Linked DNA regions of Oreochromis niloticus. Each later gene encodes a partner of the first gene's protein in a complex. Links are inferred from orthologs where the notes say so. Each region holds a gene or a part of one and is shown in the gene's direction. Other genes may lie near its edges.

Region 1 (9,627 bases):
ACAGAGGTTCAAAATGAATGAGACAACTGACTGACAAGCAGTAGAGGCCTGCTCCCTTGTTATTTCATGACAAGTGAAGAAAGCATAATATCTCAAGTTGATTCAAAGTGTTAAAATTGCATTTAATAACTTTTCACTGTATTTTTAAATATGAGTCCCAAAGAGATGTCTGTGGCTGAAAAAACAAAATAAACCTCTGAGAGAGACAGCAAAAACTTCAGGAGTGTCCAAATCAACAATCTGGTTCATTCTTATGAAGAATGAATACAGCGGCCTGCTCAGCAACACCGAAATGCCTGAAGGCCCACAGGAGACAACTGAAGTGAATGATGACAGAATTATTTCCATGGTTAACAAAAACAACTTCACTCAACTCACTCAAGAGGTTTCTCGAGGAGGTAGGTGTATCATTATCAAAGACTACAATCAAGAGACGCCTTCGTGAATAGAAACAGAGGGTTTACAACAAGGTGCAAACTACTGATTACACTCAAGAGCAAGAAGCCCAAATTAGACTTTTGCCAGAAAACATGTGGTTCTGAAAAATTCTTTGGACTTTGAACTGTAATGATAGAAAGATAAAAATGTGGAGGAGGACAGAAACATCTCATGATCCTCATGAGCGTACCACGTCATCTGTCAAACATGGTGGAGGCAGTGTTACAGTATAGGCATGTACAGCTGGAGCTGGGTCACTGGTCTTTATTAGTGATATGACTGCTAAAAGAAGCAGCAGGATAAATTGTGAAGTGTGCAGGGCTCTACTCTCTGCTCCGATTCAACCAAATGCTCCAAAACTGATCAGGACAGTGTTTCATGGTGCAAATGGAGACTACAATTATACTCCAAAAGCAACCCAAGAGTTTCTCAAGGCAAAGAAACGGATATTCTTCGATGGCCATTTCAGTCACCTGAGCCTAACAGAGGATGCTTTTCAGTTACCAAAAACTAAACTGAAACCAGAGAGACCCACAAACAACTGTAGGGGACTACGGTAAAGGTCAGGCAGAGCATCGCAAGGGAGGAAACACAGCATTTTAAGTCAAGTCCAGTCAAGTCAAGTGGCTTTTATTGTCATTTCGACCATGTACAGTGGTACAGTACAAAGTGAAATGAGACAGCATTCCTCCGAGACCCTGGTGCTACATATGACATATAACAGACAAACACAGGACTAGACTACGTAAAAGTGCAATGTGCAAAAAAATAAACAAGACAAGACAGTGCAACACTAAACACAACGATATAGACACAACACAGTGCAATAGAAATGTGCAAAATGCTGAGTATTGTGCAAAAATAACTTGGTGTCTGTAGGGGTGTCTGTGTGTGTGTGTGTGTGTGTGTGTGTGTGTGTGTGTGTGTGTGTGTGTGTGTGTGTGTGTGTGTGTGTGTGTGTGTGTGTGTGTGTGTGTGTGTATGAATGTGAGACACTGCATATGTGTCAGTCCAGTCACTGAGTGTTCAGGAGTCTAACGGCTGAGTCACTGACTGCAAATTACTTTAATCCAAGTACTGAAAATTGTATTTAGATTTAAAATTATCTTAGTACAACCAATTACTTCTGATCCCCTGAAATTTCTAAACAGCTAATGCAAAATTTTTGTAAAACCCCAGTGTGCAGGAACAAAACTACAAAAACTGTCATTGTCCAACAACTTATGGACCTAACTTTATATTATAGAGCAGAGATATCAAACTGATTTTACATAATGGGCCACATGCAGACCACTTTGTGTAAGAGTACATTTAATGCCTCAGAGATCTCAATATAGGAAAAAAGAAGTGCAGTTTTAACAATATGTCTCAGCTTTACAGCATAATAAGAAATGCTGCTGTACTTAATGAAAGAAATCTCTCAGCAGATTAAATTATTAAAGTTCTGTTTGCTCATTGTCCAGGCTGTCCTGGAGAAAGCTTTTGTCAATACACAGAAAATGTCCTATTTTATTTGTTTACCTTACTGTGGTCTTCTCGCAAAAACCAGACATGTCTATAGTAGATAGTAAAAGAACAGGAACTTGTGTTTATCTGTTACTTCATTATTGTATTATGAATGATTGTGGGAAAGGTCTTTATCACTAGAACAAGCTGTAAAGTTTATGAAAATACAGTTAAAAGTCAAAAATGTATGCCCTCCTTCACATTTTCCAAAGACATTCAGTGGGCCGAATTGGAGTCTTTGCCAGTTCGATTATGTTTGACTAAATTCTATTAGCAAGTATTACTGTTTAGTCCACTGCGCCACAGAACTCCACTGTTTCCCTAGAAATGTATCAATATACATAAAACACATCAATGACACACACTGTGGCAGTAGTTTAGATTAGTTTACATGGGCCTTCATGGGCCAACTAAGCTTACAAGTTAACTCAATACAACTGAAATGCTGACCAGAGCAAATTTTATAAAACCTGGTTTTTGTTTGTTGCCTGTTGTTATTTGTTTTTACCCCCTGAGACACCACCAGTCAAGTATCGGTATGTTTTTATATAGCTTTAAGGCTTGTTCTTATCTTTTGTCATTGGTCAAATTCGCACTTTTACAATTTCTAAGCTATTTCATATTCTCTACGACCTACTTTTCATGCTCTCATTTCCAGCAAGTAGAGCTCAGGTGGCATTTCCTGTACATTAAATATACTACAGACCAGTTTTGCACCACATCTAGATCACTTGATTATGTTTTTGTAGTGTTCCTCAATCTTCCTCAAGATCCAGCCAGCTAAGTCTACCTGTTTTATGAAATTACAAATCCTTCAAAATTAAAGCTACATATATGGGAGTTTTTAATAATTTATGTCTCTGGTAGGAAAAACAAAAAAGGAAACAAACTTGGCTTTGGGATGTGAGTATCTTTCCATCTTTTGTGTTAAGTTCTAATGAGAGAATCGTTCTTTATGAGTTACTTGCACAGAAACTATGTACATCTGTTTCCTTTTATAGCAGGTTATAAAAAAATCTCATCGTACACATGAAAGTTTGTAATGACATGCTGTCAGTGACAGGGTGTGTTTGGCACATCAGACCACAGACGCACATCAAAAGTAAAGATGTCCGATGGCTGGAAACATCTCAAATACTTTGCATATCTTACTGCTGACGTTTCAAAGTAAATAAAGCCAAAAAAACCTGTACGGCTTTCAGTTTGTGCCATGCTGCTAGAGTGCAGGTCTGGATGTATTTGTGCAATTTAGCATCATTTGTGTGCCTGTTACCTGATGTGGCTGTCGTTAGTGGCGTCCTGTGTGCGTGCAGGAAGCATTTTACTGGCTCCACTGGTGTCCAGTGAATGGAGGGTCCTTTCATCCTTATTTGATGCATTGATGAGGCTTTCTGTAACCTGGTTTGGGTGTGAAATCTGCGTGAAAAAACAAGTTGCAGTGTCACTTCAAGATTTCTTTTTGATGATTATATGACAAAACACACTACTCACCTCAGGTCCCTCCTCACTCTTCTGGTCTCCTATGCTTCCTCCTTCTTCTTCTTTTCCCTTTTTTCCTTGTCTGTCCTTCCATCGATCCTTGAGCCTCTGCGTCCACCTTCTGGTTTTATTCTCAGATGATCTCTGTTTCCTCCTCACGCTGCTGTTTGTTGTTTTTTGACTGTCTGTGGCAACCTGCGAATCTTTGTTTTCTGCCATCGCTCCAAATCCTCCATTTCCTACGTTTAACGCTTCATTGTCTTGACCTCCTGCGAAAGGGTCTGTGTTTTTCACGGCCCACAGGTAGGCCTTAGGTTTAAAGCCCTGCTCCTGGTTCTCATTCACTCCCATGCTTTGGGCAGCATGTGCGTTAGGAGGCATGCTTCTTTTCATTGCAGAATTGCCAAAACTCCACTTCTCAGTATCAGTCCTCTCAAAGGAAGCATCCTTAAGTGATGTGGTAGGAAACAGCTGCCCTGTTACTGTTGGGGTGATCGCAGGCTGTGTCGCCTGTCCCATAACCCTGCTATCACCAGTGTCACCATCACTGTTGTCTTTCTGGGAGGGGAAGGAAATAAAACCCCTGTCCACCCCACCTCCATGACCGGGCTGCTGTAGTTGACCAAATTTGAAGCTAAAGTTGCTGTCTGCAGCAGGGCTCCTGACCTTATTCGAAGGGATACCATTAGTACCTGGGCTGCTGTTTTCTGGTCCAAGTGTGTGCCGGTGCCCCTGGCCCTCTCTTTCCGACTGCAGCCTCAGTTTCTGCAGCATGGACTGCAGCAGGGCGTGGGAGTCTGCTGGATTAGGTGACTGAGACATCTAGGAACACAACCTCTAAGTCCTCTAAATCCAGGAGTCGCAGAAACACGTGTCAACACCACAGTGAAACCGGATAAACAAGGACGGACTCTACGCAAGTAATATAATTCGTCGCTTTACAACCAGCATGACAAGAGGAAAAATACCTTTGTGTAGAAGATATCACTCTTTGGTCCAGTTCTTGTTAGAAAGACACCTGTTATGGCTGCTTTCGCCTTTCTGAATAATCCAATCCCTTTCCATGACAATGTAGTTGCTTCATAGCAAATATGAAGAAAGATCCACCTCTTCCACTTAACCGTCCAGAGGTAGAAATCCTTCTTCTTCTTCTTCTCTGTGTAAACTGCTGCTTCTTATGCTGCCTCCACTAATCCTCGATCCTCAAGAAGAGCAGCAGAAGTCTTCTTCTCTTGTTCTGCATCAAAGAGATATAAGCTTTTGTTGTTTTCCCAATTTTCAAAAGTCTCTCGCTTTTACTAAATACCCATAGTTCCATTACACTACGGGTGTTGTAGTCACACCTCTTCTCCAGCAGCCACTTATATCACTGGTAATGGGAGGGGAGACTGTGCACGGCTGCGTTCCTCAGATCTTACAAACTGAAGCAGACCAACAAGAAAGACCAGTGAGGTGAGATAATTGTTTGCTGACTCTAACTCTCTCCCACTGTGTGTCTTTCTGCCCATCTTTGTATTTTGCCCTCCCTTCCTTCTCATTTCTCTACTTGGCACGCTTGCTCACACAAGTGCACACACACCCTCTGTGACCCGTAACTGATAATTATAGGGCGTTCTTTAAGAGCGGCCGCTATGTATGCGCCTGCCAAATTAAAGATATAGGAAAATGTCTGCACTGAGCTTTGCAGTAACCCATTTTATACCAATTCTGTGAAAAATGCTGTCACAGAGTTCTTTGCTACTGTTGTTGAAATAAAGTAGTAGATTCTCCAAACATGCAGTGTACTTCAGCTTGGAGAACACCATGCAATATTTCTTATAGGTTTGTTAGCCACCAGCTATATTGTTCCCCACTGCAAGTCATTACAAGATGCTGCTGCCCTGATAAACTCTTAACTGTTCTAACTACATTTCAGCCTACTAAAATGCATTTTAAACCATTTGTCATTACAGTAATTGTACTGCCTTCTTTCTGACTGAAGGTTTAGACTATAAGATTAACTAGGTACACTACAGTACTTGAAAAGTTACTTTCCTATTCTGACATGAACTTATTTAATAATAATCATGTTGCTGATCATTAACTAAAGTTTATATAACAATTAGTAATAATATACTTCTTTATCCACTACATTAATACCTTATTTTTTGTTTTTTCGTCACGCCATCTTTATATATTTCTAACCGGGACGATCACAAATAACCAGCCACGAAGATGCAGTGAAAAAAAGACAAGTGGCAGAATGTTCACTTGGAAACTAAGTGCGCATGTGCACTGTCAAACTCACGCCCCCTTTAAGTTGCCGTGTATCTGATTGGTCCGCACTTTGTAAGCGGGTAATGGCGGCGTAAACAACGCTGACATCGATGAAAGAGACACTGCTTAACCGAGAAAAATAAACTTAGACTGGAAATAAACGGAGTATGCTTTCGGTAGGAAGATTTGCTCTCGGTGTGGAAACGATTAAAACTCCGTCTTGTGTACTTCTCGGTGATGCTTAGCCGCTCGTTTTGGCTAACTTTTAGCCAAATGTGCTAACTTAGCGGAAAAGTGAGTTTGCAGAGATGCACTGTATCGTAACGGGAGGAAACGTGAAAGGTAGCAGACATTTCCTGCATATTAAACACAGTCTCTAGCTAGAATATGTATCATTAATTAGTTGTCGCTAATAATTATCTTGTGCGTGTGTTGGTGGGTGTGTCTGTACCGTCCAGTACTGGCCAAAGCCGTCCATTCTCTGTCCAGGATCGGCGATGAGCTGTATGTTGAGCCTCAGGAAGATGGGGTGAGCTGTTCTGACACTGACTTGCACACCATCACTTCCTCCTACAATGCAGATAGGCTTGTTGCTTCCTGTGGGTGCACACTTTGCGTCAATGAAAAAAGTTGATTTGTTGGTCTCTCTCTCTCTCTCTCGTAGCTGGCCCTGCGGTCTGTGAACTCCTCTCGGTCGGCTTATGCTTGCTTCCTGTTCGCACCACTCTTCTTCAGCAGGTGCAGAATACATGCCTGTGTTTATAAATGGCATCTCTGTGTGAGAGAAAAAGAAAGCGTGTATATGAGCTAACTTTAATCTGCCTTTTATACCTCTGTTTTTCTGTGCAGGTACTCCACTACTAGTGGGGATAACTTCCGCTGCAAGATGGCAATAAAGGTGTGAGAGAATTAGATAAGCTTCTGTTTTTCAAGGCGTTATACAGTCTGGGTGTGACATTGATTACATTTGAGTAGATAATGTGGTTCCCAAACTTTCATGATGACATAACACCCAAAGTTATTATAGCGTTCTTTTCTTTAGGAACATTTAGGATATGCCAGAGGTGTGTTTTTCACAAGTTCAGATTAGCTTTTACTACAGATATGCAACTTTGTGAAGGTATTTAAGTTCCAGTTACAATCTTGTGAAAACTAGCTTTCTCAGGTCTTTGTTACTTACAGTTAGAACTGTGAAAAACTAAGTACACCCCATGATTCAGTAGCTTGTAGAACCACCTATAGGAGCAATCACTTGAAGTTTATGAGTCTCTTACATTGTTTCAAAGTAATCGTTTTCTGTTTGACTTTACCAGTGTCTCAAATCTTTGTGGTGGAGTTTTGGCCTACTGTTCTTTACAGTGTTGCTTCAGTGCATCACAGTTTGCGGACATTCATTTATGCACAGTTCTCTTAAGGTCCCACCTCAGCAGTTCAGTTGGGGTCAGGTCTAGAGCTTAATTATTTTCTTTTTCAGCCATTCAGTTGTAGATTTGCTGTGGTACTTGGGATTCATGTCCTCCTGCATGATGCTGTTTGGGACAAGTTTTGACTGTCAGACCGATGTCCTCACATTTCAGTCTGGAATACTTTGGTAAACAGAGGAGTTCATGGTCAACTCAATGAGTGGAAGGTGTCAGTGTCCTGTGGCTGCAAAACAGGCTCAAATCATCACCTTCTCCCCATCATACCTGACAGTTGGTATGAGGTGTTTGTGCTGATATGCTGTGTTTGGTTTTCACCAAACAGAGGTCTTGTGGTTTCTTCAGTTGCAAGCCGAAGATGTGCTGCCATATTCTTTTACAGCCAAGAGAGGCTTTCTGCTGGCAACCCTTCCAAACAAGCCAAACTTGTTCAGTCTTTTTCTAATTGTACTCTCGTGAACTTTGACATTTAACTGCTAACTAAGGCCTGTAGAGTCTGAAATGTAGCTCTTGGATTTTTTTTTTTTTTTTTTTTTTTTTTTTTTTTGCAGTTTCTCTGTTCACTGCACAGTCTGTCACTGGTGTGAGTTTGCAGGGACGTCCACACCTGGAAGGATTGACAGCTGTCTTGAATGTTTTCCACTTGTAATTAATCGTCCCCACTGTGTTCAAATTATTTGGAATTCGGTTTATAACCACTGTCAGACTGCTTTGCATCAACAATGGCTTCTTTAAGATCACTGCTGACGTTCCATCCTTGGGATTGTGTTAACACACACCTGAATGCTCCAGACATGCAAACTACTCACATTTTGAATTTGATTACAAGCACCTAGCAGTAAGACGGTACTTAGTTTATCTCGGGATTGCATAGAGTCAGTCACTTGACTGTCACGGATCTCACTAAGCATGCTTACCAAAGGCCCCTCAGGCAGGTTGTGATAAGTATCACTTCAGTTACTTTTCTTTTGTTTTCTAGTCTAGTTTTAATTCTTTTTAAGCTCACAGTTAATTTTAAATAACTACATTGACCTTGCAATAAACCCCAAAGTCCCATCACAAAAAGTTCAACCACTCGATCACAAAAGATGTACTGAAACTACAGCTGCCAGTCTGATTTTTGTCTAATAGTTTGGTCAGGTTTGCATTCATGTGACCACTACCAAAATGTGAAAAATGTCAATTTTAACTTACTCTCTATATATTTTTCTTCTCCTTTTCTCACTGGTTTACATTCATTTTCAGTCTCGGTTTGCTATGTTAGGGAAATGTGGCTGATAGTTTCTTGATTACTTTGATTTTAAACATACTAAAGATAAACATCACACTTTCTTATAATGATTTTTTCTGTTCCTTGTTTTTTTTTTCGTTGTTGCTGTTTTTCAAATTAACTGCATGATGGCCGTACTTGGGCCTCCCTGATGTAACTACAGTTAGGAATAGCAGATCTTATTCTTAGGATTGAGAGTGTAGTCTTGTATCTGCTGACAGCTTCAAATGCCTCCTTTCCTGTCGTGTTACCACCCTTCGGTTGTGGTTATCTGTGTTCAAGTTTTGCAAAAACCTCACAGCTTCCTCGTATTAACAGTTGTACTTAGCAGTTATATCAGAGACTGGATTGTGTGTCACTTTTCAGAAACGGCAAACATATTGATTTAGATATCATTTGAGTGTCACTAAAATGTTTATTCGCATTGATTGCTACCAGAGTGTGTCATTGCGTATTGATAAGCATTATTTCCCCCCTGTGTTTCAGAGTGTACAGTCTGTGTTCAGATCTCTGACAACTTTGGAGAAGACAGTGGAAAAGTGTCACATTGATCTCGACAAACAGAAGGACCGTCTCACCTTCACCCTGCACTGCAAGCACGGTATCAGTGATTCACTTCATTATCAGATCATTTAAAGTGTTTTCCATAGATGATTTAAGAAGGCTTACAACTCATTCAGGCATGTAAAATGGTGCTGGTGTCAAACCCAGAGATGAGGGAACACATCCAGTTCTTACATCCTTGCATTGACTTACAGATAAATATAAGTCTTTATAATTCTGTATTTATAATACAAGTAGTTATCATTTATAAGTCTGTACTTACACTCTAATAGTCCACCAGATACTGCAGAACCCAAATATATTAGAGATAAGTTGACTGAGTAAAATGTAGTCTGTCAGGCCTGCAAGTCACTGCTGCACAGAGCTAAAACAAAACTTCTATAATCTCTTTGAAACTTAGAGGTGCCTCAACTGTAGCTATTTTAAATGAAAAACTACCCTTTTTCCTATGGCTTTTACATGTATTTATTAAACTATACAGTACTGTGCTAAACTCTTGAGTCACTCCTCATTTCTTTATATTTTGCTAATAAAATAGGAAATAGGTGCAGGGATTTATTGAAACATGCAAACATACATGGAAATACAGTATATCAGGCAAAAACTGTATAATTGTAACAAGTTAGAAAGTCAGTATTTGCTATAAGCATCTTTATTCTTCAACACAGTCTGAACCCTTAGGCAGCTTTCTTG
Region 2 (9,794 bases), on another chromosome or scaffold:
AGGCCCACCACCCGCAGGAGGTGCCATAGGGGTCGGGTGCATTGTGTGCTGGGCGGCGGCCAGGAGCGGAGGCCCTGGCGGACTGATCCCCGGCTGCCAAGACTGGCAATAGGGACATGGAATGTCACCTCTCTGGTGGGGAAGGAGCCTGAGTTAGTGCGTGAGGTTGAGAGGTACCGGCTAGATATAGTCGGGCTCACCTCTACGCATGGCTTGGGCTCTGGAACCAGTCTCCTGGAGAGGGGCTGGACTCTGTCTCAGTCTGGAGTTGCCCCTGGTGAGAGGCGGCGGGCTGGGGTGGGTATTCTAATATCCCCTCGGCTTGCTGCCGGTACGTTGGGGTTTTTCCCGGTGGACGAGAGGGTTTGTTCCCTGCGCCTTAGGGTCGGGGAATGGGTCCTGACTGTCATCTGCGCTTATGCGCCGAGTGGCAGTTCAGAGTACCCAGCCTTCTTAGAGTCCCTCGGTGGGGTGCTGGAAGGTGCCCCATCTGGAGACTCTGTTGTCCTGCTGGGAGACTTCAATGCTCACGTGGGTAACAACAGCGAGACCTGGAGGGGCGTGATCGGGAGGAACGGCCTCCCTGATCTGAATCCGAGCGGTGTTTTGTTATTGGACTTCTGTGCAAATCACAGTTTGGCCATAACGAACACCTTGTTCGAACATAAGAGTGTCCATAAGTGCACGTGGCACCAGGACGCTCTAGGCCGCAGGTCGATGATCGATTTTGTAATCGTATCACCAGACCTGCGACCATATGTTCTGGACACTCGGGTAAAGAGAGGGGCTGAGCTGTCAACTGATCACCACCTGGTGGTGAGTTGGATCAGGTGGCGGGGGAGGACGCTGGACAGACCCGGTGCACCTAAACGCGTAGTGAGGGTGTGCTGGGAACGTCTAGCAGAGGCCCCAGTCCGCGAGATCTTCAACGCACACCTCCGGCAGAGCTTCAACAGCATTCCGAGGGAGCCTGGGGACATTGAGTCCGAATGGACCATGCTCAGCGTCTCCATTGCCGAAGCTGCTGCAGTGAGCTGCGGCCGCAAAGTGGTTGGTGCCTGCCGTGGTGGTAACCCCCGAACCAAATGGTGGACACCAGGGGTGAAGGGAGCCACCAGGCTGAAGAAGGAGTCCTATCGGGCTTGGTTAGCCTGTGGGACTCCGGAGACAGCCGACAGGTATCGACAGGCCAAGCGGAATGCGACTCGGGCAGTGGCTGAAGCAAAAACTCGGGTGTGGGAGGAGTTCGGAGAGGCCATGGAAAAAGACTTTCGGACTGCCTCGAAGAGATTCTGGCAAACCGTCAGGCGTCTCAGGAGGGGAAAGCGGTGCTCTACCTGCACTGTGTATAGTGCTGGCGGAGCGCTGCTGACGTCGACTGAGAAAATTGTCAGGCGGTGGAAGGAATACTTCGAGGACCTCCTTAATCCCACTGACACGTCTTCCGAGGAGGAAGCAGAGTCTGGGGATGAGGGGAATGACCCGCCAATTTCCGGGGGCGAGGTCACTGAGGCAGTTAAACAACTCCTTGGTGGCAGAGCCCCTGGTGTTGATGAGGTCCGCCCCGAGTTCCTGAAGGCTCTGGACGTTGTAGGGCTGTCCTGGTTGACACGCCTCTACAATGTTGCGTGGAGATCAGGGGCAGTACCCCTGGACTGGCAGACCGGGGTGGTGGTCCCCATCTTTAAGAAGGGAGACCGGAGGGTGTGTTCCAACTACAGGGGGATCACACTCCTCAGCCTCCCTGGGAAAGTCTATGCCAGGGTTCTGGAAAGGAGAGTTCGTCCGCTAGTCGAACCTCAGATACAGGAGGAACAATGTGGTTTTCGTCCTGGTCGCGGAACACTGGACCAGCTCTTCATCCTCTCAAGGATACTTGAGGGTGCATGGGAGTTTGCCCAACCAGTCTACATGTGTTTTGTGGACTTGGAGAAGGCATTCGACCGTGTCCCTCGGGGTGTCCTGTGGGAGGTGTTGCGGGAGTATGGGGTGTCTGGCCCATTGCTACGGGCCATTCGATCCCTATACAACCGTTGCAAGAGTTTGGTTCGCATTGCCGGCAATAAGTCGGACTCGTTCCCGGTGGGTGATGGGCTCCGCCAGGGCTGCTCTTTGTCACCGGTTCTGCTCATAATTTTTATGGACAGGATTTCTAGGCGCAGCCAAGTGGCGGAGGGCTTTTGCTTCGGTGGCCTCAGAATCTCATCTCTGCTTTTTGCGGATGATGTGGTTCTGTTGGCTTCATCAGGTGAGGGCCTCCAGCTCGCACTGGAACGGTTCGCAGCCGAGTGTGAAGCAGCGGGAATGAGGATCAGCACCTCCAAATCTGAGGCCATGGTTCTAAGCCGGAAAAGGGTGGAGTGCCCACTCCGGGTCGGGGATGAGTTCCTGCCCCAAGTGGAGAAGTTCAAGTATCTCAGGGTCTTGTTCGCGAGTGATGGGAGAAGGGAGCCGGAGATCGACAGACGGATTGGTGCTGCGGCTGCAGTGATGCGGACGCTGCACCAGTCCGTCGTGGTGAAGAGGGAGCTGAGTGTAAAAGCGAAGCTCTCAATTTACCGGTCGATCTACGTCCCTACCCTCACCTATGGCCATGAGCTGTGGGTAGTGACCGAAAGAACGAGATCGCGGATACAAGCGGCAGAAATGAGCTTCCTCCAAAGGGTGGCTGGCCTCTCCCTTGGAGATAGGGTGAGAAGTTCGGCCATCCGGGAGGGGCTCAGAGTAGAGCCGCTGCTCCTCCACATCGAAAGGAGCCAGTTGAGGTGGTTCGGGCATCTGACAAGGATGCCTCTTGGGTGCCTCCTGGGTGAGGTGTTCCGGGCATGTCCCACCGGGAGGAGGCCCCGGGGCAGACCCAGGACACGCTGGAGAGATTATATCTCTCGGCTGGCCTGGGAACGCCTTGGTGTTCCCCCGGATAAGCTGGAGGAGGTGGCTGGGGCGAGGGAGGACTGGGCTTCTCTGCTTAGGCTGCTGCCCCCGCAACCCGGCCTCGGATAAAGTGGATGAAATGGTAAATGGCCTGCATTTGTATAGCGCTTTTCTAGTCCATAGGACCCCAAAGCGCTTTACACTACATTCAGTCATTCACCCAGTCACACACACATTCACACACTGGCAATAGCAAGCTACATTGTAGCCACAGCTGCCCTGGGGCGCACTGACAGAGGCGAGGCTGCCGTACACAGGCGCCACCGGGCCCTCTGACCACCACCAGTAGGCAAACATGGGGTTAGTATCTTGCCCAAGGATATTTGGCATGCAGCCAGGATGCAGCCTGGGATCGAACCACCGACCTTCTGATTAGTGGCTGACCTGCTCTGCCACCTGAGCTACAGCCACCCCAGGGTGTGTAGATGAAGATGGATGGATGGATGGATGGATGGCATCAACGGTACAGTACTCGCCTGGTTTACCTCTTATCTCTCTGGCCGCTCACAGTTTGTTCAATTACTCCCTCACAGATCACGATATACTCCAGTTAGGCGCCAAATCAAAACTGACCAAAGTCTCACCCAGAAGTTTTTCATTATCCATTGATAACTCTGTTGTCACATCCTCCCCTCAGGTTAAGCGTCTTGGTGTCATCCTTGATAGCACTCTGTCTTTCACAGCACATATAAATAATATCACTTGGTCTTCCTACTTTCATCTCCGTAATATTAACCTCCTTCGTCCCTCACTCACACCACACAGTATCACCATACTTGTCAATGCTCTTGTCACATCTCGTTTAGATTACTGTAACTCTCTTCTCTATGGTCTGCCTCATAAATCCCTCCATAAATTGCAGTTAGTTAAAAATTACAGCTGCTCGTATTATTTCCAGAACTAGATCCACTGAACATATAACACCTGTTCTTAAACAGCTCCATTGGCTTCCAATTCACCTCCGTGTCAATTTCAAGATCCTGCTTCTTACTTTCAAAGCGCTTCATAACCTCGCTCCTCCATATCTATCTGATCTTCTCCATACATACTCACCCCTTCGTACACTCCGCTCTTCTTCAGCTTCCCTTCTGTCTGTTCCACCTGCTCGCCTGACTACCATGGGACTCAGAGCCTTTAGTTGTTCTGCCCCGAGACTTTGGATGCACTTCCACTTGCTCTACGGACCACACACTTTTAAATCCCATCTCAAAACCCATCTATTCAGAATTGCATACACCTGATTCTGTCTTAGTCCATTTTTACCTTGCTCAGCTTTTATACTTTCATGCCAGTTTGTTGTTGTTGTTGTTTTTTTACCTTATGTCTAAATTTTATTTTGCCACATTTATTATATTGTATTGTTGCTATTCTTCTTGTGCTATTGTAAGGTGACCTTGAGGGCCTTAAAGGCGCTTATAAATAAAATGTATTATTATTATTATTATTGTTTTTGCAGCTGACTGTGATCGACTGAGGTGTTTTTCAGCTGATAAAGAGACACAAATATTTTACCTCCTTATTTTTAGAAACACGTTCAAAGAAAATCACAAATGATGTGTGTCAGCGATAAAATGAACTCAATTCAGAAAACTCAGAGACGATAAATGAGCACATGAAAAAGAACAAACATGATCACAGTGTGATGCTTCAGCAATGGGAATAAACTTGTTTCCGTCTGATGGTAAAATGTAGGTTTGTGTTAAATCTTCAAAGACACATGAGATTTACACGCCTGATGTCACTTAAATTTATATGAGAAAATGTGTCCAAATCAATAATTTATATGAATAAAAATATAAATAAATACACTCAGCGGCACTTTAGGATGCTTATTTATTTGTTAAGTATTTTGAAGAAAAATATCTTTAATTTAATGCATGTAGACAAGCTTTAGTCTAATATTCTAAAAAAAAATTAAATTAAATTAAAAAAAACATTGAAAAGTTGCCACAAAATAAGGTTTTTAAAAGTTGTTGCCTTTTTTCTCTCTGGAAGTTGAAGTTCTTTTTTTTTACAGGATTGTCTGAGTATAATTTTTCTGATAAGATCCTAATATTACCTCACAGAGTAAAAATGAGCCACAGCATGCACAGGCTGCTGTTTCTGAGGGTTTTTCGTGTTTTTATTGGTCTAGAACAGGGTGTAAAACTGTTATATAGTGACCAATATTTAACGAGACATCATATCTTTAAGTGTGAAGAACATTCTGTGTTCACCAAAAAGCTGACTCTAGGTGAAAGCTGCCAAACGGATCTTTGAAGTTATTTTCTATCCCAGTTACAAAAAGATAATGAACAGACTGAAAAGTGTGATTTCAACAGTATGTAAGTAAAAATATAGACCGCACTGGTCCGCTACAGTTTTCTGCCCCTGTACAGACCATTTAAAGGGCCCTGTTCTGGTCCCCGTGCCACATATTTAATTCTGCTGGTTGTTTTCTCCTTTCGTTGGGCGGAAAGATTAACAGTTTCCATGTGGCTGTTGTTTCCGTCGGACCGTAGACACAGACGGACCAAACAAATGAAAAAGTTCCCCGCCTGAAGTCAAAGCGGAAGATTAAATTCTGCTGCCCGGGGGAAAAATGAAGTTTCGGGGGAAAATCATCGACATCGCCTGTTTGAACCACTTCACCCGTGAGTCTCAAACATCTGTTTGTACCGAGGGCCGAAGCTAAGCTGTTAGCTTCCCTCCAAATGCTGCACAGAAACTGTGAAAATAAAAGTACACCTAATTTAAAGTTCCTGAAGCGGGACTTTGTTCTTTCTTTAACTTTTCTGACATGTTAGGAAATGTCTGTAGTTCGGTTTACAGCATGTGCTCAAAGAGCCGCAGACTTTGACAGTTTAACTGGTGGTTTGTCCTGATTAGTGTTATCTAAATTCAACGAAATCTACGTGGAGTCTTGTGCAGGGCTATGAGTGCACATTTGGACCGATTCATGAACAACCACAAAAATATCAGCTGTATGTTTATGCTGAATGAGTAATCTGTTATTTAATGGCTCTGTGGAGCTGCTCTAGTTTTCCACTTTTCATTTTTAGCTCATTTTTGTTTTTGAAAGTAAGTTTTAATGTTAAAATGTCTAGTTGTACTTAGTTTTCAATAGTTGTAGTATTAATTGTTGTTTTTAGTGTGTTTATCAGGGTCATGTTATTCAGAAGTGCAGATCAGATACCTAATTAAACTAAACTATTAACTACTATTATTAAAACTAACCGAGTCTGCGTGTGACTGATTAAATATTGCTCCTGGTTCACACCTCTGATCTTTCTCAGGAGTCGTCACCACCATCTCAAAGCTGACAAAGATGTGCGTCCTGCGGCTGACCCCGGACAACCTGTTCTTCGTTCTGTCCGGTAAAGTGGCCAACGGCGGCGTCAGCATGTGGTGTGAGCTGTCACAGGTGAGAGCCGACGCTCCGGCTTCCAGCTGCTAAGAAAATAAACTCAGGAATGAGTCTGAGATGATCAGGACCTATTAAATTATTTCAGTACCCTGATCCCGTCCTTCCTCCCCGCAGGCCAACTTCTTTGAGGAGTACCAGATGGAGGGCGTGTCCTCCGAGGACAACGAGATCTGTCTGGAGGTGACTCCGGAGAATCTGTCCAGAGCCCTGAAGACGGTCCAGAACGCCAAAGCGGTCAAAGTCAAACTGACCAAGAAGCACTGCCCCTGCCTCACCATCGCCGCCGAGCTGGTGAGAGCATCCGAGAAAAAACTCAGTTTACCTGAGAAGTCTGTCTCTGCTACAGCTCGAATTATATAGGTTTAATTTCACATTACTATTCATAATATCGGACGATACGCTGCATCTGGGGATAAGTTTATCTACGGCCAGGTCTCCGAACCAGAATCCAGCCACAGGTTTATCAAACAGTTACATTTATAATGTGGAGTGGTTCACTCCAGTGTGAACCAAGGCCAGAAAACAATAAACGCAGCTGAGGTGTCGACCAAACCCTGAGAGGAAACTAAACAAGAGTCAAATCTAGAAGCCAAAAGCAGAGCCATAGACAGCTCATATTGGCTCGTCTTGTTTTTCTGGCTGCTTTTAAAACTGGTTTAACTCATTTGAACCTTTAATCTGAGAAACCTGAGCCCTCTTCCTCTGTGCCGCCCAGCCCACCCTGTCCAGCGTCAGTCGAGTCGTCACTCACGACGTCCCCGTTGACGTCATCCCCCGGAGACTGTGGCACGAGTTCAAAGAGCCGAGCATGCCGGACTTTGATGTAAGCGAAGCTTCCGAACACCAAATCATCCTTTTTATGAGCGCTGACTTTGTTTTGTCCATCACGGGTTGTGTGTTTGTGTCACTGCAGGTCAGCATCTACCTCCCTCCCCTGAAGACCATGAAGAACATCGTGGACAGGATGAAGAACCTCTCCAACTTCCTGGTAGGAGGTTAAACATGTTCAGATCAAACACGGACTCATACAGAGAAGATCTGCAGCTTTATTTCTCTGGATTTGGGTCATTTCAGTAACAGCTGTTGCCGCGGTTACGTGTAACAAACTGCCCGGCATTTTTTTAACATGACACTAAATTCCTTTCGTTTGAAATATGTGAAGAAACACATTTTCCTGTATTTCAGCCCTCCGCCCGGCCCGATGTAGGAGGACAAATATTGGATTGAATGTGAACACGATGTTTATGTCAGCTTTTCCTGAGAAGTCAGATTTAGACATTTTTGTCAACAATGCAGAAAAAATAATGTCATGTTTAAACTCGGGCCTCATGTTACCTGCGACAGGTGACACACAGAACCTGAAGCCTTATGTCGCTTTAGATGTTTAGATGAAATATGCTGAAATATTTGGAGCGTTTTCATCTTTTTACCTGCGGTCGGACAGGAAGTGAAGGTGTTAACACCTCGCCAGACTCGGGATTTTACACGAGCGTTCACCCACTGCTGCCTCGATTGGTTAGTTGGGTTTTATAGCGCTGTGTTAAATCCTCGCTGTAACCAACATGAACTTTTCAAGAAGCCTCATTTCAGGTTTCATAAACACCTCCAGCAGTGACTCTGAAGAGTCAACTCCAAGAGGAAAACACCACCGCCACCTAGTGTTTGTGCGGTGAAATGAGTGAAATACTGACTTGTGTGGCCTTCTCAGTATGAACATGTAGATTCAACACAGGAGGATACATTTAGAATATTTTTAGTAGTTAATGATCAGTTAGTTTCATTTAGATCAATAAAGTTTCCTTTCTTCCAAAACTGGATGACCTTCAATGACATGAAAATCTAATTAAAAAAGGATTTAATGTCACAAGTTTTCTGAATCAAAGACAGAAAATTTCCTTACCAGTGAATCTGAATCATAATTCTCCTTAAAGAGACTTTAAAGTCTGAATCTTCATGAAAACTAACCAAAAAAAACACCTGAACGTTATTATTGATGTGTGTGTGTGTGTGTGTGTGTGTGTGTGTGTGTGTGTAAATGGTAAATGGACTTGTTCTTATATAGCGCTTTTCTACTCTGTGTGTGTGTCTGTCAGGTAATCGAAGCCAACCTGAACGGAGAGATGAACCTGAAGATTGAGACCGATCTGGTTTCCGTGACGACTCACTTCAGAGACCTGGGAAACCCTCCGTGGGGTAAAAACACGTTTTAGCTCCACGAGCAGCTCAGACCTGCTGACGGATGCTCCGTGATCTCTGTAGCTCAGTCAACACGTCAGATCCCTGATAACAGTTAATTGTGGGGGGCGGGGCCTAAAGCCACACCCTCCACCTGCTGCTGAGAGCCACACAGAGTGTCTCATTTATGTTTAATAATTACTGATTATCAGTATATCAGCGGGCCTGTGGTCCACACTTTTCATACATTGCTCCTCCCTCCCTTCAGGCGATGACGCCTCCCAGGATGGCGGCCCGTCTCAGAGCAGGGACCCGGAGAGCATGGTGGAGGCCAGGGTGGACATCAGGAGGCTGCAGCAGTTCCTCATGGGGCAGCAGGTCAACCCCAGCAAGGCCATGTGCAGTGAGTCTCCCCTCACATGTTCGCACTCAGGACAAAACCCACCGGGGTTTAATCCACGTCACAGTTTAATGCGTTTCTCTCGGTCCTCTCGTCCTCCTCAGACATCGTCCATCAGAGCGTCCTCCACCTGATTCTCCTGCATGAAGACATGTCGCTGCAGTACTTTATCCCCGCTGTGGCGTAGACGCTCTGCTCGGCACTCAGCGCCAGTCTGAGGAAGTAAAAATGGACTAAATGGTTTCAGGTGTTTCGTCACATGGAGACAAAGCTGACCGCGCCTGTGCTCCATCTGACGGAGGCTCAGAGTGGAGCTCACAGGCTCTCCTCCCACCTGTGATGGTGTTGGAGACGACGGAGGAGGTTTGGACTGCTGAGATAAAGAGTCTGTGTTTGTGAGACGTTTCGGTGGTTTTTGATTAAAAACGTGTTAAAGTAAAAACATTCAAATATGTAAGTTGCTTTTTTAAAAAGTGACAATAAAATAAAAACTGAAGTATAAACATTTCAGGCTGCAGTGTCTCGATGCAGCTCGCTCATCCAGGTGGCTTCTTCAGTCTCCTGTCACTTCGAGATAGCCCAGAGTGTGAACATGATAACACAGCTGTTCTGATCCTCGGCTCGGTGTCAGTGCAGCCACATGATTGGCTGGTACGGTTTGTGGTCGTTTACCTGATAATACATCCCACAGAAAACACTGTTTATATTTCCACTGCTATGCAGATGATACCCACTACAGGCACATAAAGGTCTAGATGTCCTGAAATCTTCTAGCGTCAGAAAGAAGCTATGATGGATGGGACTGTTTCTGCTGAAGCGCAGCCTTAGACCATCCTCCATCATTCCAGGACAGTTTAGCTTTGTAGAGCAGATAGAGTC
Region 3 (9,856 bases), on another chromosome or scaffold:
CAACTTAGTTTAACCCAGTAAACTGAAGTGTCCATCAAAGTGAGCAGTCACATTAGGACCCCCGTCCTCCTTTAGGCTCCGCCTTCAGACAGTGAAAGTGCAGTAAGTAGCAGAGAGCTACCCACGAGAGTGTAAAACTGTAGCAGCACGTCCAAAGCAGACACTCTTGTGTGCACGATGGCTTTTTTGCGTGCGCAGCTGCTGAGTTTAATGTGCAGGCGCTTCCCTTTCACTCAGATAAACGGTTGTCAACACAGGTGAAGAACAGAAGAAGAGGCAGAGTTTTCTCAGATTATTAGTAAGATAAACCATTAGTGGTTCATCTTCCTAATACTTTAAGAAATCTCTGTCTGTTCTTCTGCTGTATTGACAACCATTCCTATGAACGGCTTTAGAGTTGGTGGGAACCTGATTAAGTGTGGTGCCAGACTTGACCATCTTTGACATTAATAAATACCCCATACTATTACCCTTAAATGTAACCATGACAACAGCAAACACTTATCCTGACCTACACCTAATTTTACTTTACACCATTTCCTGTTTCGGTGTTAATTTAGCTAGCTGCTGGCTTCAACTACTTATTTATCATGGCACAAAGACAGTGACACTGGCCATCATTCAACTTTCAGAACAAGAGGAAATTGTGCAAAAAGATGTGTATCCACAAACTATCAATTTGAAAGTCTCTTGTTTGATCACGTCTCACCATGTGACTGTTTGCGTCTCAAATAATTAAAGATTTATTCCTTTTGTTTAAAGGCCAAGTGCCTTACACAACTACAGGGCTATAAGCCTTTGAACAAATAACAGAAGTAAAGCCATTAAGGACAGCCAGCCCACTGTTGCAATACTGGAGAAGAATGACACGCATAAAACGCTGCATGAAAGTGCTACATATGTAACCAAACCATTAGAAAAAGCAACAATGTTCCACTTTCTGAACCTGCAAGTGCTCAATGGGTTCAAGTCACATGACTTTCATCATTAAAGGGTGAACATGAGGTTTCTTAAAATGTCAAACAACAGAATTTGTTGAGAAATCTCTGTGTGTCCTTCTGTAGCCGACACAGCACTCCAAGAGCACTAGTTATTATAGATTACCATTCAGTAGTTTGGTTCAATATAGCAGCAACCTGATATTTTAGCTATTTGTGTTTATCTTTTTGAGCAGCAATTAGAGTGTAAGGGCAAATACACACAGGAAGAAACTAACACCAGTTTGTCAACCAGAAATCTCAATGTTCAAATGGACGACTTGAAGTGATAATTACTCATGACCGACCCACTGACAGCAGCAAATTGCTGTATACTTGGACAGGCCTCAACTTTTTGCCTTAATACAGAGGACACTATTTCTCAGTCTTATTTTAGACAAACACTAAGTATGAATGTAAAATGTTACATGTGTCTTCTGTTTCTGTTACTTGGTAGATACTGTAGCTATATTTATTTTATGAATGAAAAACATCACAACATCAGTAGATTAACATGTAACATCAGTCAATCAGTCATGGTCCACCTGAAAGCGCAAACAAGGTGCCTTTCGTTTTCAGTGCTGTTTACAAAGGAACTAAACGTTAACGGTTAACTGGTCTGATCACAGCCAAGCAGATCAGCAGCCCTGTTAGATCGTTGCTCAGGTGCTCAGGTTGCTCAGGATTTAAGATTAAACCTTACAGTTTAATCTTAAATCCTGGGTGTAAATCTTAAAAGGACTTTCTAACTAGAAGGCTTTGTTCCCTTGTGGTGGAGGGAACAAACCATTATTAAAAACATCAGTGCATCTCAGGTCTGCAACCCAGGAAAATTCACTTATGTCAATATGAATGTTTCCTCCACTCTGTTTGCCTTCCTGACTTACTGCTTGTTTTGCCGGTTTTGATATGTGAAGGTTTCATCTGAGTGATTTAAAGTGTCACATTGTGTATAAAAGTTATTTATCGTAAAAGTACAGTAAAGTGGTGTTTAGAAGTCATAGCCTCAATTATTTGACTTAATAAATTACTAATTAAGTAGTTGAAATTAGTAGAGTGATGCCAAGTAAAAGTTATGTGGACACCTCCCCCCACCCCTTTGTGTTGCGAGGTGGGGCAATTGTTTATTGGGCTTGCTATGGAACATCCTAGATATGTCTGATGGGACTAATGTGCTAGTAGGGTAGGATGTCATCGGGGATTGTGGTTGCCATGGATGGGTGTGATTGGTTTGCAACAATGTTAATGTGAGTGTCTTTTTAAACTAACATAAATGCTTGGAGACAAAGTAGGACACTGCAATGACTGTTTGCAGTTTTAATGTGATGGCTGACAGGCGTATTGAATTTCAGGTGTGTGTGCCTGTGTCTAAGGCACACACAATAAAAACAGTGTTCCTTTTTACCTGCTGGTGGGACTGATGAAGGTGAAGGAGATGAGCTGGTTCCAGAAAGGGTCATTCTCCGATATGGACTCTGTGCCCACCAGGGCCTTGAGGCTGGGATTATCGGACAGGTCACTGACCTGACTGGTGTTGGCTCCCATCTTTGCTGACTGTGCTCAGCCAGACTCGCTGCTCTTCACTGCTTTTTCACCAGGCATATGCCAAACCTGGGACAAAGAAAATGCTTTAATCTTTGGAGGCACAGACAATAAACAACTGAGCTTCAAATTAACTACAGAATTAGCAAATTCATTAAGGTTAATGTGAGAATGAATGAGCTTCTGTTTACATTTATACATCTCCTACACTCAGATCTAAATAGGAATAGACAGAGGCCATCCTTGTCGCTTTGGGCTTTAAGAAACAAGGGCACCAGGGGTGCCAGGGATGACTGTGGTTCAATTGGACAGGTTCGATCCCTGGCTACTGCAGGCTGCATGGGGAAGACACTGAACCCAGAGTTGCATTCACTGGAGTGTAAATGTTTGATTAAAAGCACTTAGACATATAAAATGTGCTTGTATGAATATGTGTCCGTGTGTAAAGTTGTGATGACACATGCTGTATAAAGTGCTCTCAGAGCTTAAGCACAAGAGTAAGAGCCAGTTTACATACACTCCTGGTTCTTCATGTTCGTGCATTACAAAAACTGTAAAACAGATCTCACCAACTCAAACACAAACTCATCCTTGAAAGCCAAAGTTCACAGCATCACAGCAGGACGACACACACTGAACCAGGACATGACTTTTGTTTTTTTGTAATGACACACCTTAGACACACAGGTGTAGTCAGCATAAGTGAAGTGGAGTATAGCATTTACAATATTTGCATAGCAGTGCTAAACCATAAAGGACAATTTATCTTTCTCCAGCAAGAGCTAAAATTCCGTTTTCATATTCATTATATTCATTATATTATATTTACTTTAAATGACACTGTTTAAAGAATTGTTTTAAAATCTACTTGCACGACGTTAGCTTGACCATACTGATTTCAAGTGCAGGAAATAGCCTGCCGCTTAGCAGTTTTCATAGTAAACAATATAAACTCAAAGTCCCACATAAGAATGAAATAGGCGCTAATAAATTTCTCATTGAGGAGTGCTTTGGTTTAGTCAGTGGTTAATAACGCATATACAGAGAGCAGCCAGCTGACCGTTCAGCTTACCTGTCATAAACGCTTCTCTCAGCTGTCCGCGGCTCTGCTGACTCCCAGGACCGTTCAGGGGCGACTACTGTTTTTTAAAGTGACCTGAAGTTTAGTCCAGTTGATTTATTAAGTGCGAATGACAAAGGAAAAGGTCTGAAATTGTTTTGTAATTCAGACAGTTAAGTTTACTCTACATACTCCTTTCCTCCATGTTTTCCACGTAGCCACCCTGTGCGTAATGACGACATATGGGCGGTTACTACGTCTTCTTCGTGTGTTCGTCCAGTTGGAAGCTAAATATCAGAACTGCTGCCCTCTATTTTTTTTAACTTCTCTATTTTACATTTTTTAATAACTAGTGTATGCCCATACTATAGCATTGTTTCGGCTGTTCGCAAACGAAATCACTTTCAGCAAAATATATATTAATAAGATAAGATGAAAAAAAAATTGGTGCAATACATGCTGTTTATATGTTTAAAAAAACTTTTATTTTAGGCTATTGCTAGGGGATTTTAAGCATATACATTTCAAATTATGGGGTGTCCTGAGGCATCTCGGAAAATTGACAGCCCGGTCAGCATCATGGTGAACGTGTTTGAATAAGGGGAAGCCAAGTTACACAACAGAACATATGCAGACACAGTAACAAGTCAATAATAGCATTCACTTCACTTGTCAATGGCTTAAATGATGTGGCTGATCAGTGTAGAGTATATTCCAATACTTTAAAGATATTAAATATTATTAACTATATTTTTCCTTTTTGAGCAATGTGTGAAGACAAATGTTTTCCAGTTGCTTCTATGTCTGGAGAAATATGACATAGACATATTATGTCATAAATATGACATAAATATGTCTGTATAATAACATGGAACACTGTTGCTGAACACTGTTACTACCGGCAGTAAACACAAATGTCAGGTCTAAATTATTAGTTTATACTTACTTTCGTGTCAAGTTGCTAACATTCTTTCATATTTATTTTAATTATTTCAAAGTTATATGAACAAAACAGCTTTCTTAACAACTCAAATATGAAGAGAACACATTATTCAAAATGAAGAAAAAGCAACGGAAGCACTTAAGAGGTCTTGTTTATTTTATTCATTATTTATGCTTAAAGTTTAACTTACAAAATCTATATCATTCAATACAATAAACAGATGTATCAATTCATGATTAACAGAAAATATATCAACAAGATGGATGACAAAAATAAAAACAAGCTCCAAATAACAACTGGAAGGTTATAAAATCCAATTAATTCCAAGATGCTTTATAAGTTAATTTATAGTTTCTCTAGAAGAATGAAATATTTACATGGTTTATGAAGCATTGAATATATTTTGAGGTGTCAGTCTGTCTTCTTATCCGTTGCTATAGTAGATCCATTAGCAGTGGCCTCGCCGTTGCTTTCAGGCTGAAAAACATGAGTGAAAATTTTTTTAAAACTTGCAATCAAATAACTATGAAATTTTTACGTTAAAAATGACACAACACAGAGACCCTTTGAGTGGCTCCTATTAGTTTTACTATCATTTTTAGATATATTCGCTCTATATACCAGAGCTGGGAAATATTTCCATAATTATTTTTAAGTTTCTTAATGAAAACATCACAAAAATTATCCATTTACTTACCTTGCAAGTCCCATTACTCTTTTCACTAACTTTTTGGTCATTAGTACTGGTCTCCTGCACTGCCTTTTTGCTCCAGAATATATTAATAATGGGTGAAATAAAAGGATAGAGATAAGGCTCCAGGAACCTCTTGTAGACCCACAAGAGGACAGGAATCACAATACAGGGAATGCACACCATAGCTGTGGTTTAGACAGGGCAGTAAAAATGGAAAAACCTGCAGTAGAGAAAAAAACATTGTGAGTTGTAAAAAAAATACATAGTAAGTTTATGGTTGGTTGTTGAGATATTGCTACAAGGTTCCTGTAGAGTGATTTAATAACATTTCATTAATTTCTTAACATGTATACAATAGTTAAAAAACAAAAACAAACAAACAATTAAACAAACAAACAAAAACGACTAAAACCCCCCCAAATCAAACAACAATCCAACATACACTTTAAAACACGAAAATAAAGCAAAAAAATATATTGGTTGAAATGACAGAAATGTGTACACAATTTGAAAAGTAAAGGAATCTTTCTTTATAAATAGGTTACACAAATTTAAAAAAGAAATTTATGGCATATTTACAACAATTACTGCCTACGTTTATTTTAAACTCTTCTGGTGTATATAAGTTAGAAATGACTGTACTGAGACGTTTATTATTTTGTTTGTTTTATTTATTCTGGCAGCTTGGGTCCTCCACACAGAGCGACCTGTCAGCCATACTGACGTTTACAAGGCTAACCTGAGCTACCTTAGGTAACGATAGAAGGAAGCTTTCTTTCACACGACTACACAAATTACTCTGTTCATGATTTCCGTTGTTGTGTGCTGTAAATTGTTTTTCGATCATTTTTAACTTGACAGTTGACACACTATTGGTTTCATGCTCTCTAAGCTCAAATCAAACAGTGAGCTAAAGCTAGCGTCCTATCACACCCCGGTAGCTATAACGATTATGAAAAACTGTCACCAAAGTTCAAACATAAAAATAAAAAGATTTGAACTGTTACACGAGGAAGACAGAATAAAGACTCTCACCTCTGCCAATCACAAAATGATGTTGTCACGCACTACCGATGGGCAGAGTATGTTTTATGGCGAAATATCTGGAATGTTGCTGACGTAAGACGTACTTTAACTCCAACTTCCGTAGAAGAAGAGCGACAGGCGGAAGTTGTTCACCACCGGGCGCCTTTCTTCAAAAACAATCACAAGAACTGCTGCATAACAGCTTTATAAGAGACACGAAGGTAGTTACAGTTTTTGGGGGGAATATTTTAAATACATTAATGTATAGGAGGATCTAGATAGTACAGATGTAAATTATATTACCGTTAATTTCTGTTTTACGTCACTTTAAACTACAAGCGAGCTACAGAAAAAAAAAAACAAGCTTAGTACTTCAGTAAAAGCAAAGTGACAGTTCGGTGTGTGTGTGTTGTAGAGTCGACACATATCACTTTGGCGTATTAACATTCTGTCCGATTTAGAATATAAATGATACGCCATTCAACAAAGTTTCAACTTCATGCGCATGTGATGTATGATTGGAGCGGCTAATTTGATGTGTTTACCTTTACAGGGAGCTCACAGCGGGTATCTGTGCGCCTTTTTTTCAGCGCTACAATGCCTCTCGCCACTCAGTCGCAGGGTGATGACGAACAGTACGTTTTAGTGGCGAGTTTGGACAATGCTCGCAATCTCTCCAACATCCTGAAAGCAATCACCTTCAAAGATCACGCCATCTTCACAGCTACAACCAATGGCCTTAAGGTCACAGTGGAGGACTCGAAATGTCTGCAGGCCAATGCCTTCATCCAGGTGTGCTTCTCTTGTATTTTGTTAGTGAACATACTTAAATGAGCAGGTATGTTTACGTTGTGTTTAATCCTATAATACTGATACCTTAGTGAAATTGTACTCATGTCCCCCAGGCTGAGATCTTCCAAGAGTTCACCATAAGAGAAGATCTGGTGGCTTTTCAGATCAACCTCACTGTTCTCCTCGATTGCCTCAATATATTTGGTGGAACCACAACACCAGGTAAAATTTATAAAAATAAACTAATAAAAAAAAAACCCCACCTGAGATGTGACTCGGCATGCTTTATATCTGTTTTTTGTGATGTTGCAGGTGTATCAACAGCCTTGCGGATGTGCTACAGGGGGTATGGGTACCCTCTGACGTTGTTCCTGGAGGAAGGTGGTGTAGTGACCGTGTGCAAGATTAACACACAAGAACCAGAAGAACCGATTGACTTTGAGTTCTGCAGCACTAATGTCACGAACAAGGTTAATTTCACTTTTTCTGTTATTAAAACTCGAATATTGAATATACAAAAAAATCAGATGGGAAACGATAAACTAATACAAATGAATCAGTTCAGAAATCACAGTTTCTCTGGTTTCCTTACTTTACAAATCCAATTGGGATAACAGTATCTGCAGGTGTTAGAAAACAGGAAACACAACTCGGTAACAACTGATGTATCCCTGGCTCTTTTGTAGGTGATCTTGCAGTCAGAGAGTTTGAAGGAAGCCTTCTCTGAACTGGACATGACAAGTGAAGTGCTACAGATTACCATGTCCCCCAGCCAACCATACTTCAGGTGTGCTGTCCTTACTGTACTTTTTCTACAGTATTGTGCTGGTTTATGATTACGTTGCTAAAGTTAAAAAAAATAACTGTGTTTAAAATGACTGTAAAGGCCTTTACACACCAAGAGCATTGGGAAAAAAACCTGACGAAATTCATAATTTAATACATAACATATGTAAACACTGAAATGATAAAAACAGAGACTCTGGTTTCAGAGCAACAAGGAGAATTTCGTGGTTTCATTCAGAAGTTGAAGCTGTATCACGACCGCTTACTTACATACATCTTTCCGGATGTCATTGGGGTAGTTTGAATTCTTGTGGGCAGAGTTAGGATCACATCTGAGGGGACAGAGAAGTAATTTCGTAGAACTGATTGTGTGTCTGTATTAAAATTGTATTATTTACTTTTGCTGCATCACCGGTTTTCAGCACCGGTGTGTGTTTTAAACTACAAGCACACTTTTGTTGCCAAATGCAGTGGTCTGATTGGCAGATCTCTTTATTCGCGTTCTGAAAATTGAAAAAAAGTCCGAAAAATATTTTCAATGCACAAAATATTTAAATGAATTCTTTTATGAGTCTGGTGTGTAAAGGTCTTAAAAGAAAAGTCATTGAAGTTATCCACTGGGGAAAGTATTTGGGATTAGACATAATCCACTTCTTGGAAACTAAGTCTTCTTAACGGTAAAGGTGAGGCATGTTTTATGCTGGATTGTATTTATCGGATTGAAGCTAACACTAAATATAATGTATAGCTAAGCTAAAGGTAGGAACAGTGACTTTCTTCAAGGATTTGTTGTAACAAAATAGATCTTTTTCCTGTCATTCATTATCAGTGTGCTGAGGTAGTTTGCAGTGTAACTTTGTCCCCTCTGCATTATTTTTGAAAGTGCTGCTCTTTTTACCTTTCATTTATATTATTATTATTTGATTTGTTGATTTTCTAAGGTTGTCAACATTTGGGAATGCTGGAAATGCTCATTATGATTACTCCAAAGACTCGGACATGATGGAGCTGTTTAAGTGCACCGAGACACAAACGAACAGGTCAGCACACGAACACATGCACAGATTATTTAGACTGTAGAGAACACAAACTACCCATAGGTGGACTGGTAGGACAGGAAGCACCAACACAGCGACTAAAACCAAATGTCATACAAAGTAGTGAATGACTAAAGTGCTCTTTATCTCCTGGCGTCTACCAGTGATCTTTATCTCGCAACTGTCTGTGACTGACATTACTCTCATTTTCAGTTTTGACCCTTTTACATGCCTGTTCACGGATGGCTGCCGGGCAGATAACTCTGATAATAATGAAAAATTTGAAGATGTTGACATGAATGTTTTTATCCAAGTCCAAAAATTAAAAAGTTATAACAAGATATACACATCTTTCCTTTGAGAATTATAAAATTAGTATATCTGTTCAGTCACTGTGTCAAATATACCCTTGGACAACAAAGTTGACGTATATCAGATTCTCCAGCATCAGCTGGGTAATGCCAACAAACTAGACTGTAAATGACCTCCAGCAATGGTGGAAGTCATTTTTAATGAAACATAAGAAATGCTGGAATATATTTATATTAAACTGTTTAGTATTTTATTTTCTTCAAATCTAGTTTGTTTTATTTGATTGTAATTCTGAGCATTTTATGGCTTATGTTTTGGAAAACTAATAATAACCAAAGGGCAGTGATAATATTTTTTATTATTAACAAACTAAGCTTTGAAAATATTGACACTCACTTGTGTACACACACTAATAATGAGTGCCAGTGTGAACTCTGATAAGTATACACTCACCTTGTAGGTGCTCTAGAAATTCCTGGAATTGGAAATACTTCACTCAAGTAGACTCCCATGGTTTGACCTTGTGTTGTATACTTGTGTGCAAACTGTAATTGCCAGCATGGCTTCTAACCAGAGGTCTAACTGGCCACAGGACGTTGCAGCACCTGCATGCAGGTGTTTAGGATTTTAATCATTTCCCCGGTGACCCTTCGTCCCCTTTACATCTCCTTAAAAGCAGACTTGTTA

Evidence for each region. The genes of interacting proteins can lie anywhere in the genome.
Region 2: the proteins of rad9a (region 1) and hus1 are in contact, whole or in part, in a crystal structure (PDB 3GGR), measured with the Homo sapiens proteins. The link is inferred for Oreochromis niloticus from reciprocal best matches to the Homo sapiens genes RAD9A and HUS1. Residues at the interface, in NP_004575.1 of Homo sapiens: Leu157, Pro158, Pro161, Val176, Ala186, Lys191, Ala192, Met193, Val194, Thr195, Glu196, Met197, Cys198, Leu199, Gly200, Asp203; in NP_004498.1 of Homo sapiens: Thr84, Asn87, Arg90, Ala91, Lys93, Thr94, Phe110, Ser121, Ser123, Ser126, Arg127, Ile128, Val129, Thr130, His131, Asp132, Ile133, Pro134, Ile135.
Region 3: the proteins of rad9a (region 1) and rad1 are in contact, whole or in part, in a crystal structure (PDB 3GGR), measured with the Homo sapiens proteins. The link is inferred for Oreochromis niloticus from reciprocal best matches to the Homo sapiens genes RAD9A and RAD1. Residues at the interface, in NP_004575.1 of Homo sapiens: Leu76, Ser82, Val83, Ser86, Leu90, Lys92, Leu112, Phe116, Gly117, Val118, Arg119, Lys120, Thr121, His122, Asn123, Leu124; in NP_002844.1 of Homo sapiens: Glu165, Ala166, Ser168, Glu169, Asn195, Ala196, Gly197, Ser198, Ser199, His200, Leu201, Asp202, Tyr203, Pro204, Asp206, Ser207, Glu211.

The regions. Positions count from the first base shown.
Region 1 is NC_031966.2:22,444,618-22,454,244, reverse strand, and holds the start of rad9a (cell cycle checkpoint control protein RAD9A), read left to right. Parts: upstream 1-5,751; 5' UTR 5,752-5,987; coding exon 5,988-6,021; intron 6,022-6,114; exon of another isoform or gene 6,115-6,137; coding exon 6,138-6,208; exon of another isoform or gene 6,209-6,331; intron 6,332-6,343; coding exon 6,344-6,417; intron 6,418-6,528; coding exon 6,529-6,577; intron 6,578-8,856; coding exon 8,857-8,971; intron 8,972-9,627. Other genes in the region: uncharacterized protein zgc:113229, read right to left, coding at 3,218-3,360, 3,436-4,245. UniProt on the Homo sapiens protein: Component of the 9-1-1 cell-cycle checkpoint response complex that plays a major role in DNA repair. The 9-1-1 complex is recruited to DNA lesion upon damage by the RAD17-replication factor C (RFC) clamp loader complex.
Region 2 is NC_031974.2:189,499-199,292, forward strand, and holds hus1 (checkpoint protein HUS1), read left to right. Parts: upstream 1-5,380; 5' UTR 5,381-5,515; coding exon 5,516-5,567; intron 5,568-6,209; coding exon 6,210-6,337; intron 6,338-6,454; coding exon 6,455-6,631; intron 6,632-7,055; coding exon 7,056-7,163; intron 7,164-7,253; coding exon 7,254-7,328; intron 7,329-8,433; coding exon 8,434-8,533; intron 8,534-8,783; coding exon 8,784-8,918; intron 8,919-9,019; coding exon 9,020-9,102; 3' UTR 9,103-9,418; downstream 9,419-9,794. UniProt on the Homo sapiens protein: Component of the 9-1-1 cell-cycle checkpoint response complex that plays a major role in DNA repair. The 9-1-1 complex is recruited to DNA lesion upon damage by the RAD17-replication factor C (RFC) clamp loader complex.
Region 3 is NC_031972.2:18,191,590-18,201,445, reverse strand, and holds the start of rad1 (cell cycle checkpoint protein RAD1), read left to right. Parts: upstream 1-5,442; 5' UTR 5,443-5,969; intron 5,970-6,251; exon of another isoform or gene 6,252-6,463; intron 6,464-6,795; 5' UTR 6,796-6,839; coding exon 6,840-7,034; intron 7,035-7,147; coding exon 7,148-7,256; intron 7,257-7,346; coding exon 7,347-7,504; intron 7,505-7,720; coding exon 7,721-7,821; intron 7,822-8,761; coding exon 8,762-8,860; intron 8,861-9,856. Other genes in the region: dym (dymeclin), read right to left, coding at 2,383-2,522; c21h18orf32 (UPF0729 protein C18orf32 homolog), read right to left, coding at 4,934-4,999, 5,220-5,399. UniProt on the Homo sapiens protein: Component of the 9-1-1 cell-cycle checkpoint response complex that plays a major role in DNA repair. The 9-1-1 complex is recruited to DNA lesion upon damage by the RAD17-replication factor C (RFC) clamp loader complex.